Linked DNA regions of Oryctolagus cuniculus. The protein of the gene in region 2 purifies or fractionates together with the protein of the main gene of each other region. This does not show direct contact. Links are inferred from orthologs where the notes say so. Each region holds a gene or a part of one and is shown on either strand. Other genes may lie near its edges. The genes, in order: AP3M1 and AP3S1.

What was found.
Region 1: the proteins of AP3S1 (region 2) and AP3M1 purify together in Homo sapiens (co-immunoprecipitation; 4 studies listed by BioGRID and IntAct, counting the BioPlex papers as one, with this or other methods). This does not show direct contact. The link is inferred for Oryctolagus cuniculus from reciprocal best matches to the Homo sapiens genes AP3S1 and AP3M1.

What each region holds. Positions count from the first base shown.
Region 1 is NC_091446.1:65,185,453-65,192,189, forward strand, and holds part of AP3M1 (AP-3 complex subunit mu-1), read right to left. Parts: intron 4,523-6,737; coding exon 4,437-4,522; intron 3,333-4,436; coding exon 3,199-3,332; intron 1,979-3,198; coding exon 1,771-1,978; intron 1-1,770. UniProt on the Homo sapiens protein: Part of the AP-3 complex, an adaptor-related complex which is not clathrin-associated. The complex is associated with the Golgi region as well as more peripheral structures.
Region 2 is NC_091437.1:6,073,090-6,079,826, reverse strand, and holds part of AP3S1 (AP-3 complex subunit sigma-1), read right to left. Parts: intron 5,895-6,737; coding exon 5,803-5,894; intron 1,874-5,802; coding exon 1,762-1,873; intron 1-1,761. UniProt on the Homo sapiens protein: Part of the AP-3 complex, an adaptor-related complex which is not clathrin-associated. The complex is associated with the Golgi region as well as more peripheral structures.

The DNA.
Region 1 (6,737 bases), on a different chromosome or scaffold from region 2:
GTGAAATCTTAAGCATGGAAGCTCGATGCAGAAGAGAAAGCGAAGCTGTTCTGTTTGAAGCTACACTGGAAGGGCACGAGATCCGGAGCCCCCCTTTCCCAGTCCCGCGTTGTTTCTGAGGAGCTTCTTTGAATTCCTGGGATGGAGTTAGATAATGTTTAACAGTTTATGACTTTTAATTAAAAAAAAAAAATGTCTTTGGGTACCGTGAGTGGGTTCAGCTGCTAATTCCAACACCAGCATCCCATATCAAAGTGCATCAAAGGATGGAAGCTCTGTGTCACTCTGCCTTTCAAATAAATACATAAATACATCTTTTTAAAGAATATGCCTTTTTGGGGCTGGCGCTGTGGCACAGTGGGTTAAGCCACTACCTGTGGTGCAGGCATCTGATATGGGCACCAGTTCAAGTCCTGGATGCTCCATTTTCAATCCAGCTTCCTGCTAATGCACCTGAGAAAGCAATGGAAGATAACCAAAGTATTTGGGGCCCTGTAACCATGTAAAAAACCTGGAGGAAGCTCCTGGCTCCTGCCTGGCCCAGCCCTTGGAATGAACCAGTGGGTGGAAGATCTATCTCTCCCTCTATGTAACTCTGAGTTTCAAATAAATAAATACATCTTTAAAAAGCCTTTTTATCAGGCAGTTCAATGACTATGCTGTAGTTGCTTCATAATCTTCCGCTATAGGCATGTGTAAATAGGCAGAACAATGTCTCCTGTGGAAGAATATGAAATGAAGAACTTTTAAAAGGGGGCTGGCTGGCATTGTGGCCTAATGGATTAAGCCACTGCTTTTAATGCTGGCATCCCATGTGGAGTGCTGGTTTGAGTCCTGGCTGCTCTGCTTCTGATCCAGCTTGCGTATTTAATGAGGCTGGCAAGGCAGCAGAAGACGATTCAAGTCCTTGGGTCCCTCAACCATTTTTGAGACCAGGATGGAGTTCCTGGCTCCTGGTTTTGGCAGGACCTTTTGAGAAGTGAACCAGCAGGTGGAAGATCTCTCTCTACCCCCTCTCTCTGCTGTTTTGCCTTTCAAATAAATAAGTAAATAAACCTTAAAAAAAAGGAACAAAATAATGGTTGGTTTCTACAGAAAGATCTAACAATAGATTATAGTATCTTCATATATCCACAAAACACTTAAAAAAGCCTTTACTGGGGCCAGCACTGTCGCGTAGCAGGTAAAGCTGCCACCTGCAGCGCTGGCATGCCATACAGACACTGGTTCAAATCCCAGCTGCTCCACTTCCAATTCAGCTCCCTGCTATGGCCTGGGAAAGCAGTACAAGATGGCCCAAGTCCTTGGGCCCCTGCACCTACGTGGGAGACCTGGAAGAAGCTCCTGGCTCCTGGCTTCAGACTGGCCCAGGCCTGGCCATGGCAGCCATCTGGAAAGTGAATCAGCGGATGGAAGACCTCTCTGCCTTTGCCTCTCTGTAATTCTGCCTTTCAAAATAAATAAATAAATTGTTTTAAAAAAGCCTTTACATTCTTATTAGTAGAGACAGTCTTTGGGTTATCACAGATGAGTAAAGGTACTTTGAAAGAAGATAGAGTCAGTTTCACGTCTCTGTTTATCTACTCAGGGGCAGACGTGGGATTCTCTCTACAGCCAGTGGCAGAAATACAGCCTAGTATGACCTTTGTTTGGTTTGGATAGGAACTTTAGTTTTAAACAAGGTGGTAAACCTCCCCTCTACTCTTTCCCCCAAATCACAAAAGAGATTTCAGGAAACACTTGCTCACTCTTGATCTGAAGTGGCTGTACCTTGGTGACTGGATCAAAGGTATAGCTGCCTTGTGTTGGTGTCAGGTTCATATTCAGCACAACTTTTGGCATGTGAACTGTCACTGTAATTCCTTCAACAGTTTTGCCCATATTCTGCTTTGGTCCAATCGTTACATCAAATCTGCCACAGGAACTGTTCTCCTTGAAGCTGATATTATGTTTCACATACACTGGTATTGCCACTAGACTAAAAGACACAAAAGCATATACATACACAATTAATGGTTAGGATACCTTCAGAGCTGCCCTGAAAATACCAGTCCAGAGTATTCTACCCTGCGTCTACTCCACAGTAGGGATCCATATTTCTGAAACTGCGTCTTTAGCATCTGCACAAAGGAAAGCTGGGTATAGCACATTCTGGTACCACTGTGGTCTAGGAAATCTATCATTTCTCAGCAGGAGGTATACAGATCAGAACCCAACTCTGAAGCCTAATAACAGTGTAAGCAATTGAGACAAATGGTTCTAGTTTTTAAAAAGATCCCACTGAAAGGTAATTTAGAATTTAATATAAATGATGAGAGCCAAGAAACATTTCTCTGCTTTTCAGTCCTGTCTTGATGATACCACCCAAATACCCTCAGATCCTTTCAAGGAAAAAAATAGCTATATAAGCTACGATGCTGAATTGTTCCTTTGAAACTCACGGCAGCAGAGAGTGACTTGAAGTGGGCATGTTGGGCAAGTCTGCAGAGCTAAAGGTAAGGCCTGTCTCCTTCTGTTGGCCAAATGTCTACAGACTTTGATAAAATTATGGTACCAGTTCCGGGTTCTGGTTATGCATAGTCCAAAATGCTTGTTCTCAGGCATAGGCTTTGCTATGGTCTTATTTACTGCTACTATGTACTCTTAGATTCAAGGTACAGATTATTTCAGGCATGTATTCTCATCAGTTCTCTTGGGGTATCTTTTTTTTTTTTTTTTTTTTTTTTTTGACAGGCAGAGTGGACAGTGAGAGAGAGAGACAGAGAGAAAGGTCTTCCTTTGCCGTTGGTTCACCTTCCAATGGCCACCGCAGTCAGTAAGCTGCGGCCGGCGCACCGCGCTGATGCGATGGCAGGAGCCAGGTACTTCTCCTGGTCTCCCATGGGGTGCAGGGCCCAAGCACTTGGGCCATCCTCCACTGCACTCCCTGGCCACAGCAGAGAGCTGGCCTGGAAGAGGGGTATCCGGGACAGAATCCGGCGCCCTGACTGGGACTAGAACCCGGTGTGCCAGTGCCGCAAGGCGGAGGATTAGCCTAGTGAGCCGCGGCGCCGGCCTCTCTTTGGGTATCTTGTTGAGTTGTGATTAAGTCAACCATGATGAACTCAAGTAGCCAAGTGTAGAATGAAACAAGGCAAAGTAGGTTCTATTCAGTACACTGATACATGATGGAAGATTCTGGCTGACACATCAACATACTTTTGTGAGCTGACACGGTAGGATATGAGTCGGAAATTTCCATCTGGAGGAATAAATGACAAAACTCTTTCAGATTCCCAGCGTTTGAACCGGATGCAGGGATGGAAGCTGACATCATCCAGAAGCCTGGGGTTCTGCCAGGAAAACACAAGACAGCCAGGTTCATAAAGTATACCAGCTATGGTAACTCTGTTCAGTATTATGAGATATTAGTATTTTTTCTAAAGATAAAGCAGTCATGAATGAAATAAACCAGGCACAGAAAGACAAATACCACATGTTCTCACTTATATGCAGAAGCTAAAGTCGATCTCACCAAAAATTACAGTGATTACCAGAGGTAGATGGAGTAAGGTGGTGGAGAACAGAGGGAGGCTGTTAAGATGGATCTCCTAATACAGTTAGAAGGAGTAAGTTCTGCAGTTCTAGCACAGTAGGCTGACTACAGCAATTTGTGATTTATGAAGAACTAGAAGAGAGGAATATGAAAGTTCCCAATAGCAAGAATGACAAACATTTAAGAAGATAGAAATGCTAATTATACTGATTTGATCATTATACACTGTTTATGTAAATGTATTATCACGCTGTAGCCCTTAACTATGTTATTATGTGTCAAAAAGATAAAAGTCATGTGAGCATTTATTAGTTATTATGACATCCACAGAACCTTAAACGTTTCACAATTTGCAAGTATTTTATATACATTATTTGAATTTCAATAACTACCAGGGAGCAAAGATGAATAATATTAGTTCCATTGCATAGGTAAAAAAACTGAGGTTCAGGACAAATTGGTAAAAGAGCACCATAACTCAATTCTTTTCATTGTTCTTTGCAGTGTGGTATGCTAAGTCCAAAATGATAAGACAAAGTCCAGTGCCCTTTCCTGTTAGTAAAGCAGATAATTATTCAGTGAAAACTAAAGTAGAGATTTGCCAGCTAACTTTTAAGTCACTTTTAGCACATCTAAGCAAAGACTTCTCAGCCTTTTCATAAAGGCCAGGCTCATCATGTAAACTACTGTCCTGAAAGCTGCTATGCTAGCAATACTTCTCAGATGATCCTTTACACTCTTAGATACAAACTTATCTAAAGTACTTATCACCTCATTTAATATTTAGTTGTAGTACTTATCGCTTCATTGAGTATTTCATATGTATGCTATTATGAGTTGGAAATTTCCACCTGGAGGAATAAATGTAGCCCTTTGCTGCAAACAAGAAAACAAAACTTACCATGAAAGATAGGGAGAGATCGGGCATTCCTGATAGCTTAATGCAAGCATCAATGACCCCCTGAATTTCTGCAAAGACTGTAGATCCTGAAGAAAGAAAAAGATTGATAGTATCAATGGAATCTGAGTCTTTAGCAGAGCTATCACTATATCTGGAGTAATGGAGCCACCCCCTGGGTGTCAGACTTGCTGAAGCTTTGCACCTCGATTAACAGGTCAGTGGACAGGGGATATATTACACCAGTTCAGAAAGCCTTTTCATTTAGTGCCATGGTCTGTAGCTAACTCTGGTTGGAATATGATAATGCTAATGAAAATCAAACCTATCTCCTTTAGAGAGTTCACCTTCTAAGACTACTGATATGAATTTAAATTGTTACAACAGACTTGAAAAATGAGGGAAATTTATTAGGAAATGCAGCAAACTACTTCCTAACTTTTAAGAAATAGGAGCCACTTGGGATAAGCATTGTGATGTAGTGGGTAACGCTGCCACCTGCAATGCCAGCACTCCATACGTGTGCCAGGTTGTGTTCTAGCTGCTCCACTTTCCATCTGGGTCCCTGCCACCCACATGGGTGACACGATGAAGCTCCCAGCTCCTGGATTTGAGCTGACACAGTCCTGCTGTTGCAGCTATCTACAGAGTGAACCACCCTCACCACCCTAACTCTGACTTACCAAATAAATAAATAAACATTTAAAAAAAGAAAAATAGAAGCTATGATCTATTTTTCTGTAGACAGAATGCTACAGTGGAAAGAGTAATCACTGAAGAAAAGATATTGGCTAGGGGCCGGTGCTGTGGCATAGCAGGTTAACGCCCTGGCCTGAAGAACTGGCATTCCATATGGGCGCTGGTTCGAGACCCGGCTGCTCCACTTCAAACCAACTCCGTGCTATGGCCTGGGAAGGCAGTAGATGGCCCAAGTCCTAGGACACCTGCACCTGCGTGCGAGAACTGGAAGAAGCTCCTGGCTTCGGATTGGCGCAGCTCTGGCCGTTGAGGCCAACTGGGGAGTGAACCAGTGGATGGAAAAATCTCTTTCTCTGTCTCCTCTCTCTGTGTAACTCTTTCAAATAAATAAACAAATCTGTAAAAAAAGAAAAGCAAAGCTGAAAGGAAGGATTCCTTTCCCTTTATCAATTACTATTAAAAAAAAGATATTGGCTAAAATTCACTAATTATCATCACATATCAAATACAACCTTTAGTGGATCACTCAACCTTTCTAAGGCTCTTCCTTTCTTTCTTATGGCTGCAACGGCTGAGACTAAGCCAGGCCGAAGCCAGAAGTCAGGAGCCAGGAGCTTCTTCAGCATCTCCTATGTGGGTGCAGGGACCCAAAAACTTGGGCCATCTCTGCCTTCCCAGGCCATCAGCAGGGAGCTGGATCAGAAATGGAGCAGGAACTCAAACTGGCGCCTATATGGGATGCCAGTGCTGCAGGCAGATGCTTAACATACTACATTGCAGTGCCAGCCCCAGCCTCAGTTTACATATAAAATGTGATGATGGGACTAGATTTTTAAAAATACTTTATAATTTTACTAATTTTTTGATAAACATTTAATACTTGCACATTTTATGGGTATTCTTTTTTCTTTCTTTCTTTTTTTTTAAGATTAATTTATTTATTTGAAGGCTGAGTTACAGAGAGGCAGAGAGAGGGGGAGAGGGAGAGAGAGAGAGAGGTCTTCCATCTGCTGGTTAACTCCCCAGATGGCTGCAACAGCCAGAGCTACACCAATCTGAAGCCAGGAGTCAGGAGTTTCTTCTGGGTCTTTCATGCAGGTGCAGGGACCCAAGGACTTGGGCCATCTTCTATTGCTTTGGGGTATACTTTCAACATATATACAGAGCCTGGATTGATTGAGCTAGGCAACTAAGCGTTTACTTCCTTTTTTTTTTTTTTTTTTTTTTTTTTTGACAGGCAGAGTGGACAGTGAGAGAGAGACAGAGAGAAAGGTCTTCCTTTTGCCGTTGGTTCACCCTCCAATGGCCGCTGCGGCCGGTGCGCTGCGGCCGGCGCACCGCGCTGATCCAATGGCAGGAGCCAGGTGCTTCTCCTGGTCTCCCATGGGGTGCAGGGCCCAAGCACTTGGGCCATCCTCCACTGCACTCCCTGGCCACAGCAGAGAGCTGGCCTGGAAGAGGGGCAACCGGGACAGAATCCGGCGCCCCGACCGGGACTAGAACCCGGTGTGCCGGCGCTGCAAGGCGGAGGATTAGCCTAGTGAGCTGCGGCGCCGGCCTCCTTTTCGTTTTGTTTGGTGCCTATCAGCTCTTCTTTTCCAGTTC
Region 2 (6,737 bases):
GGTCATCACTCAAGTTGGCGAGAGGCAGCTGTGTAGTTGTTACTCCCTTCTCAGCGCCATATTGTGGGAGAGCAGATGCATAGAATAAGTCTTAATTCCAGTAACAGTCTAGTCCGAGTTGCTCCCCACAAATAATACAAAAAGAAGTGGTACACAAAGGAAGGAAGGTGTGAAGATAAGAATAGGGAGGCAACTCAGTTGGATTAAAAGCACGGTGTGGAAATGAGCAGTGAGAAGGGGTAGAGAGCAAAACTCACAGGAGAGGAGATGCAGGCCTAAAAACGTCAGGATAGAGAGAATTACATACATCGACGATGAAATCACCAAGAATTCCAACAGGGCAGTGAATGTCGGTAAACTAAGAGCCAAAGTCCAGTGGGCGACAATTCTCCACGGGTGGGGTATTCCTGCACAGACTGTGAGCAGAGGCATGGTGGTCTCTGCTCTGGGCTCTCCTTGCAAGCACACTATGGATAGGCTTACTTTCCCCCAGGAAGCAAAGACAGTGTACTGTAATGTAAATTTGAAATGTTATCTCAAAAACCAGTAAAGTGAAGAAAGAAAGGGAGAGGGAGGAGAGTAGGAGAGACAGAGTGGGAGGGGTGAGGGAGGAGGGGAATAGCATTATAATCCTAGAATTGCATCTGCAAACTACACTGAATCTGCCAAAAACTACAAATTTAAAAAAATTAAAATCTTAAAAAAAAAAAAAAAGAAACAGTGCTAATTATAGAAGAGTTCAATTCTCTAAGGTCAGGGTTCCTCACTCATAACTCAACCCACAGTGTGTGCCCCTCTTCAAATGCTTGTACTTTGGCTCATGTGCTATTTTTTTATTTACTGTGGCTAATGCTTACGTTGCTAATCATAAAGGTCAAGTTTTCGGCTTCCAAGCTGGATAAGATTTCCTGACGAAACCGCCAAAGGATCGAAGGTAGAGAGAGAACCACAAGCAGATGGGTAGGAGTTAGAGCTGACAACATGAGACAAAATGTGGAGATGTTTCAGGAGACAACCCGTTCTGGAAAAACCAGTGAAAACCAAAAAGAACAAGAGGGCAAAGAGCTACTTCTTGAGAGTGCCGGAAGTGGTGTAACAGAGAAGGCAGGATTTAACGTGGATCAAAGTGGAGCAGCATGGAAGAGGCTAAGGACAAGGAGGAGTCTGCTCATCACAGCCCTGGAGTTCCAGGACGTCACGAAAGGTTTTCAGGAAACACGAAGAAAGAGAAGGGAACAGATGGAATTAGTCATAACTGGTCTAAATCAGATTAAATTCGTCTACTTTTTTTTTTTTTGACAGAGTTAGACAGTGAGAGAGACAGAGAGAAAAAGGTCTCTCTCCCATTGGTTCACCCCCCAAATGGCTGCTACGGCCGGCACTGCGCCGATCCGAAGCCAGGAGCCAGGAGCTTCATCCAGGTCTCCCATGCGAGTGCAGGGCCCAAGCACTTGGGCCATCCTCCACTGCCCTCCCGGGCCACAGCAGAGAGCTGGACTGGAAGAGGGGCAACCGGGACTAGACTCCGGCGCCCATATGGGGTGCCGTCGCCACAGGAGGAGGATTAACCAAGTGAGCCACAGCGCCGGCCCCCATCTACTTGTTCTACATCCCCTGTCCCTCTTTGATCCACCCCGTATCTACTGTGGACACTTTCTTACCAAACAAAACATCACTTTAGAAAATTTAGAAAATGTAAGTTTTTAAAAATATAAATGCCAAACTGTTATTTAAGACAGTAAGAGGCAAATGTTAACTTACTTGAATTAGATCTAAAATGCCAAGTTCACTTTCTGAAGAATCCACACAGAAGACAAAATATAACGTTGCATAATGTCTATAAATCAGTTTGTTGTCAGATCCTCCAATTAATCTAAATGACAAAACAAAACAAGTGAAATGTTATAGGGAACAAAACACAGAACATTTTCATTAGCTCAAGCAAACTGACAATGTGTTTAAAAATCTTTTATTAACCAAACATAACATTTAGTGGCAAAGCATTCAAGAGAACTTACTTCTGAGACTAAGCAAATTAAGACAGCTATTTTCTTTAGAGACAAAGTAAAAAGCTTAATTTTAGTTCACTCATTCGTTAAACTATTCAGTGATTAATTCTATGTGTCAAGCACTGACGATGGATACAGAGCAACTAACAAGAAAATTGTCAGTGGAAGGTGCCACACAGAGAACCCAAGCAGGGCGAGGCCTCCAGAGGGGCTGGCCTCCTCAGCCGGGAGGTGAGGGAGATGAGGAGAGTGCCGTGGGCCTCAGGGATTCAGAGAAGAGCATGTCAGCGCCAGGTGCAACTAACAAAAGGGCACTGCAGCGAGAAGGAGTAGAAGAAAAGGCAGGCCAGCAGACAAGGAGAGATTAGTGACAGTGAGGTCAGAAGAAGCAGAGATTAGGACAGAGGGCGTCTGCAAGTGCTTACTAGATTTAACTCCACAGGTCACAGTAAGTTACACAGCTTAAGACTGATTATGAACTAGGAAAAAAAAAGAATGAAAGTTCTTAAATTTGGGACAGATTTACCATCTAGGTCGCCTACAAAAACATATGCTGTTTTGAGTACAAATGCAAGAGAATTAAGTTATTACTCAGTTCTTCCATCAAATACTTTTATTTATATTGACTGGAATTTAAATATAGTTAAGCTTTCACACTTTTTAAGTTTATGAGCTTGCCTTCTCAAAAGACCCCTACACACTAACAATTTAGAAAGTAACGTTAAATGTTGTCAAAGCTAATCAAACATTCATATGGAATTAGACATCATTTCTCATTTGAGTCAAGTTAACCCCTGAGCTCCCACCTTCTCTGTGTATGCACTACATCTGTGTCCCCTAACAAGAAACCAAAGTTCCTACTATGTTAGATACTTTTTTGGGAAAGGTATTTAACTTAAAAGTATACACATGCACTTCAAAGATTCTGAAATCATGTTTATGGGCTATGATTGCAACTGTTTCTCTAAAGAGATACAAAGAGTACAGACAGCGCTTTCACAAACAGCAATTCAGCAACGACCTTGAGTTTTTCCTCTAAAAGGAGGAAACCTGGCCTCTGAAAGCTGTTCCAACACAGCCATTAACATTAACAGAAGACAGCAAAAATACTACCACAGCAAGGGTACCTTTTCCCTAACACAGACTCTAGGATGCTGCAAGCATGGATAAAGTAATTGGGTCCCTGGAGTGAATTCCTGGATCCTAGCTTCAGCCCAGCCCAGCCTAGCCCCAGCCACTGTAAGTCTTTGAGGAGAAAACCAGTGGATCTTTTGTCTCTCAAATAAAATTTTAAAAAGTATTTAAGAATTTTTATCTTGAAATTATAGTATAACACTACCCCAAACTCTTGTACGGAATGTAAGTCACCATATAAAACCATAAACTTCAGTCCAAATAGTTTATCTTAGTGGAGAAAACTGAATTTCAAGAATTAAAGTGACTGGACCAGGGACACAAACTTGATGGTGATAACACTGAGACTGACTAAGATGCAATATCTATTTTCTACTTTTCAAAAGGTTGGAGGGCAGGTGTTTGCCTGCGATGGAATCCTGCCTTGCTACTGATCCAGTTTCCTGATAATGTGCATACCCGGGAGGCAACAGATAAGGACCCACGTTCTTGGGTTCCTGCCCTCCAAGTACCAAGAGGGAGTTCCTGGCTTCCAGCTTTGGCCTGGCCAGGCGGGTGAGGGTACCCAGGGCACTGGGTCAGCAGACAGAGGAACTCTCTCTCCTTGCTTTCTTCCTCTCCCTCAGTCACTCTGCCTTTCAAAAAACTAAAAAAAAAAAACTAAAAAAAATAAAATAAAATAAAAAGTTGGGAAAGAATAATCATAACTCCAGGCCCTGATTTCTGGTTTAAACAGTACTCTAGCTAGCTCCATCTTGCTTTTCTACTGCATGCAATATACTGTGCTAGGAGACACATTTCCTGGGAGGGAAGAAATTAAGAGGCTGGGATGACAAGAAGTGATAGTAAAGGCAAACACTATTAAACCCGAACAGACACTTAAGAGAATTAGGTACAAGTGAAATTCAAAGTCAGAAGCAGGTACATTTGTCTCGACTATTAAAACAGAAGCCTGCATTGGTAACAAAATTTATACCTATTTTAAGTGTGAACCATACATTTAAGTGCAGTAGGATAGAACTTAAGAAACACAACGAACTACACATGATAAAAAGTAACTTAAAGTCAGGTAAAAATGGATTCCCTGCTATCTGACCTAGTTTTCATAACATGCACCATACACAAAATACAGAAAAATACAAATTTCTCTAATCTGTGACTATTTACAAATCTCAGCTGAAGTTTATTTTTAAATATCAATAAGGAACTATCTTATTAAGTATATTAATTATATAAAAGAAGAGGCAACATTTATGAAAACATTTAGAATTAAACTACTTTCATGGAATCCATTAATTCAGAAGTATTTACTTATATATTTTGCAAGCTAATTATAAGTAATGGAAATGTTAATAGAAAAAATCTTTTAGCTGAATTCTCATCTGTACATAGTGCAAAGACAGAAACGTTAGAAGAATAAACTTCAGGGCCAGCGCCAAGGCTCACTAGGCTAATCCTCCACCTGCAGAGCCGGCACACTGGGTTCTAGTCCCGGTTGGGGCGCTGGTTCTGTCCCGGTTGCTCCTCTTCCAGGCCAGCTCTCTGCTGTGGACCGGGAAGGCAGTGGAGGATGGCCCAAGTGTTTGGGCCCTGCACCCCATGGGAGACCAGGAGAAGCACCTGGCTCCTGCCATCGGATCGGCGCAGCACGCCAGCCGTAGCGGCCATTTGGGGGGTGAACCAACGGAAGGAAGACCTTTCTCTCTGTCTCTCTCTCTTTCACTGTCTAACTCTGCCTGTCAAAAATAAATAAATAAACCTCAGTTTTACTTGTAATAATAAAAGATACAATCCAAATTTTTATGGACATTTACCCTAAGGAATACTCTTTAGTCTTAAAAAAGAGTAAGGGCTGCCTTAGACGTACTCACAGGCAGAACTTGTTAAAACATTACACAGGGGCAGGCACTTGGCACCACGGTTAAAGCAATGCTTGGGACACCTGTGTCCTGCATCAGAGCGTGTGGTGACAGCTCCAGCTCTGCTCCGAGTTCCAGCTGCCTGCTAGCGCACACCATGGAGGGCAGCAGTGGAACTATCAGGAGCTCAAGTACCTGGGTTCCTGTCACTCATGCTGGGAGACTTAGACAGAATTCCTGGCTCCTGGCTTTGGCCTAGGCCAGCTCTGGCTGCTGCAGGCATTTGGGGAGTGAATCAGAAGATGGGAGATCTCTCTCCCTGCCTTTCAAAAAATAAAATGATTATTTTTACAAATCTAAGTGTTAAGATGAAGTAAACCAAACAACAACAAGTGAGCATACACAGTGTGATCTCAGAAGTAAAAAGGTTACACTTCCAAATGCTGGTCGGTGCAAAATCTGTTTTCTGGAAGGAAATGTAAAACCAGGACGAAGAACAAAGGCTGGAAGAGGGAGACCCTTATTGAATATTTTACTCTTCCCTGGAACATTTGAATGTTTCCAATATGAACATATTAATTTTAAATAAAATGCCCTTATAAGATTTTTAAAAAGAAAAACAGACTGCACAGCTTCAAAAGAAATTCTTTAAGTTAGATTAATAGCTAACATGGGTAGCAATTATCTCACCTAATTCAACTAATCAAAACTAGAAAACGTTTGCACTGAACTGCTGTAACAGTACACACTTTAATTATCCAGTCCAAAAATCAGAAGCGTCTATGAAATGCTTTACTTACAATCCTCCTTCCAGGAAATTACAGACGTTCTCATCCCTCTTAGAGACCAAGTGGAAGGTCTCCCTGATGATCTGCTGCTGTGTGTCTTCACTCTGAGGGAGAACAAGTCACATACATTAGGACTGAGTGTACAGGTTTAACAGAACTTTAACAATTTTAAAAATAACAGGGATTAATCTCTGGGAAATCCATCTAAGTGAGTGAGGGGTCCTCAGAGAACCAACTTAAAACCCAACACTGTTAATGAAAAAAGGGGGATATGCTTTGACGTTTACCACTATGATAAAAATAACTGAGTTCTAAATTGCAAAAACCAACAAGGAAAAAAAACACATATATTACATTTACTAGAAAAAGGGAAACTATATATTAACTAGTCAAAGCCCATTGTTTCACAACACAGTAAACTGAAACAGAGGCAGAGTTAGAAATAATTCATGTAGCTAATCTATATTTGAATGGAAGAATGATCACAAAGTGTAGCGTATCCAACTGAACATAAGCATTATTAAACACAGACTGAAGTACGAGGCCATCCATCTTACCCATCTTTATACAAGCACAACCTAAACCAAGAACTGGTTCAATAAGTATTTACTAGAACAACCAAACAATTCATATTCCAGCAAAAAAGGTCAACTTCACAAACAATGCAACAGAAAGCTGAGCAAACTCTTCACCAGAGGGGAAACATCATGGCCTGTAAACAAAGGAAGAGTCGCTGAATCTCATCAGCAGGAACAACGAGGAGACGGCTCCACCACACCGGACTGGTCAGTGGCAATATCAGCTGTGGACAAAGGTGTGGCACCAAGCACACCCACCCCCTAGCACTGTGCGGGCCAGTGGTCACCATCACTTGGGGAAAAACTTTATTAACCAGCACTTTCGCTCCTAAACCATACGAAACCAGGATTTCTGAAGGTCAACAACTA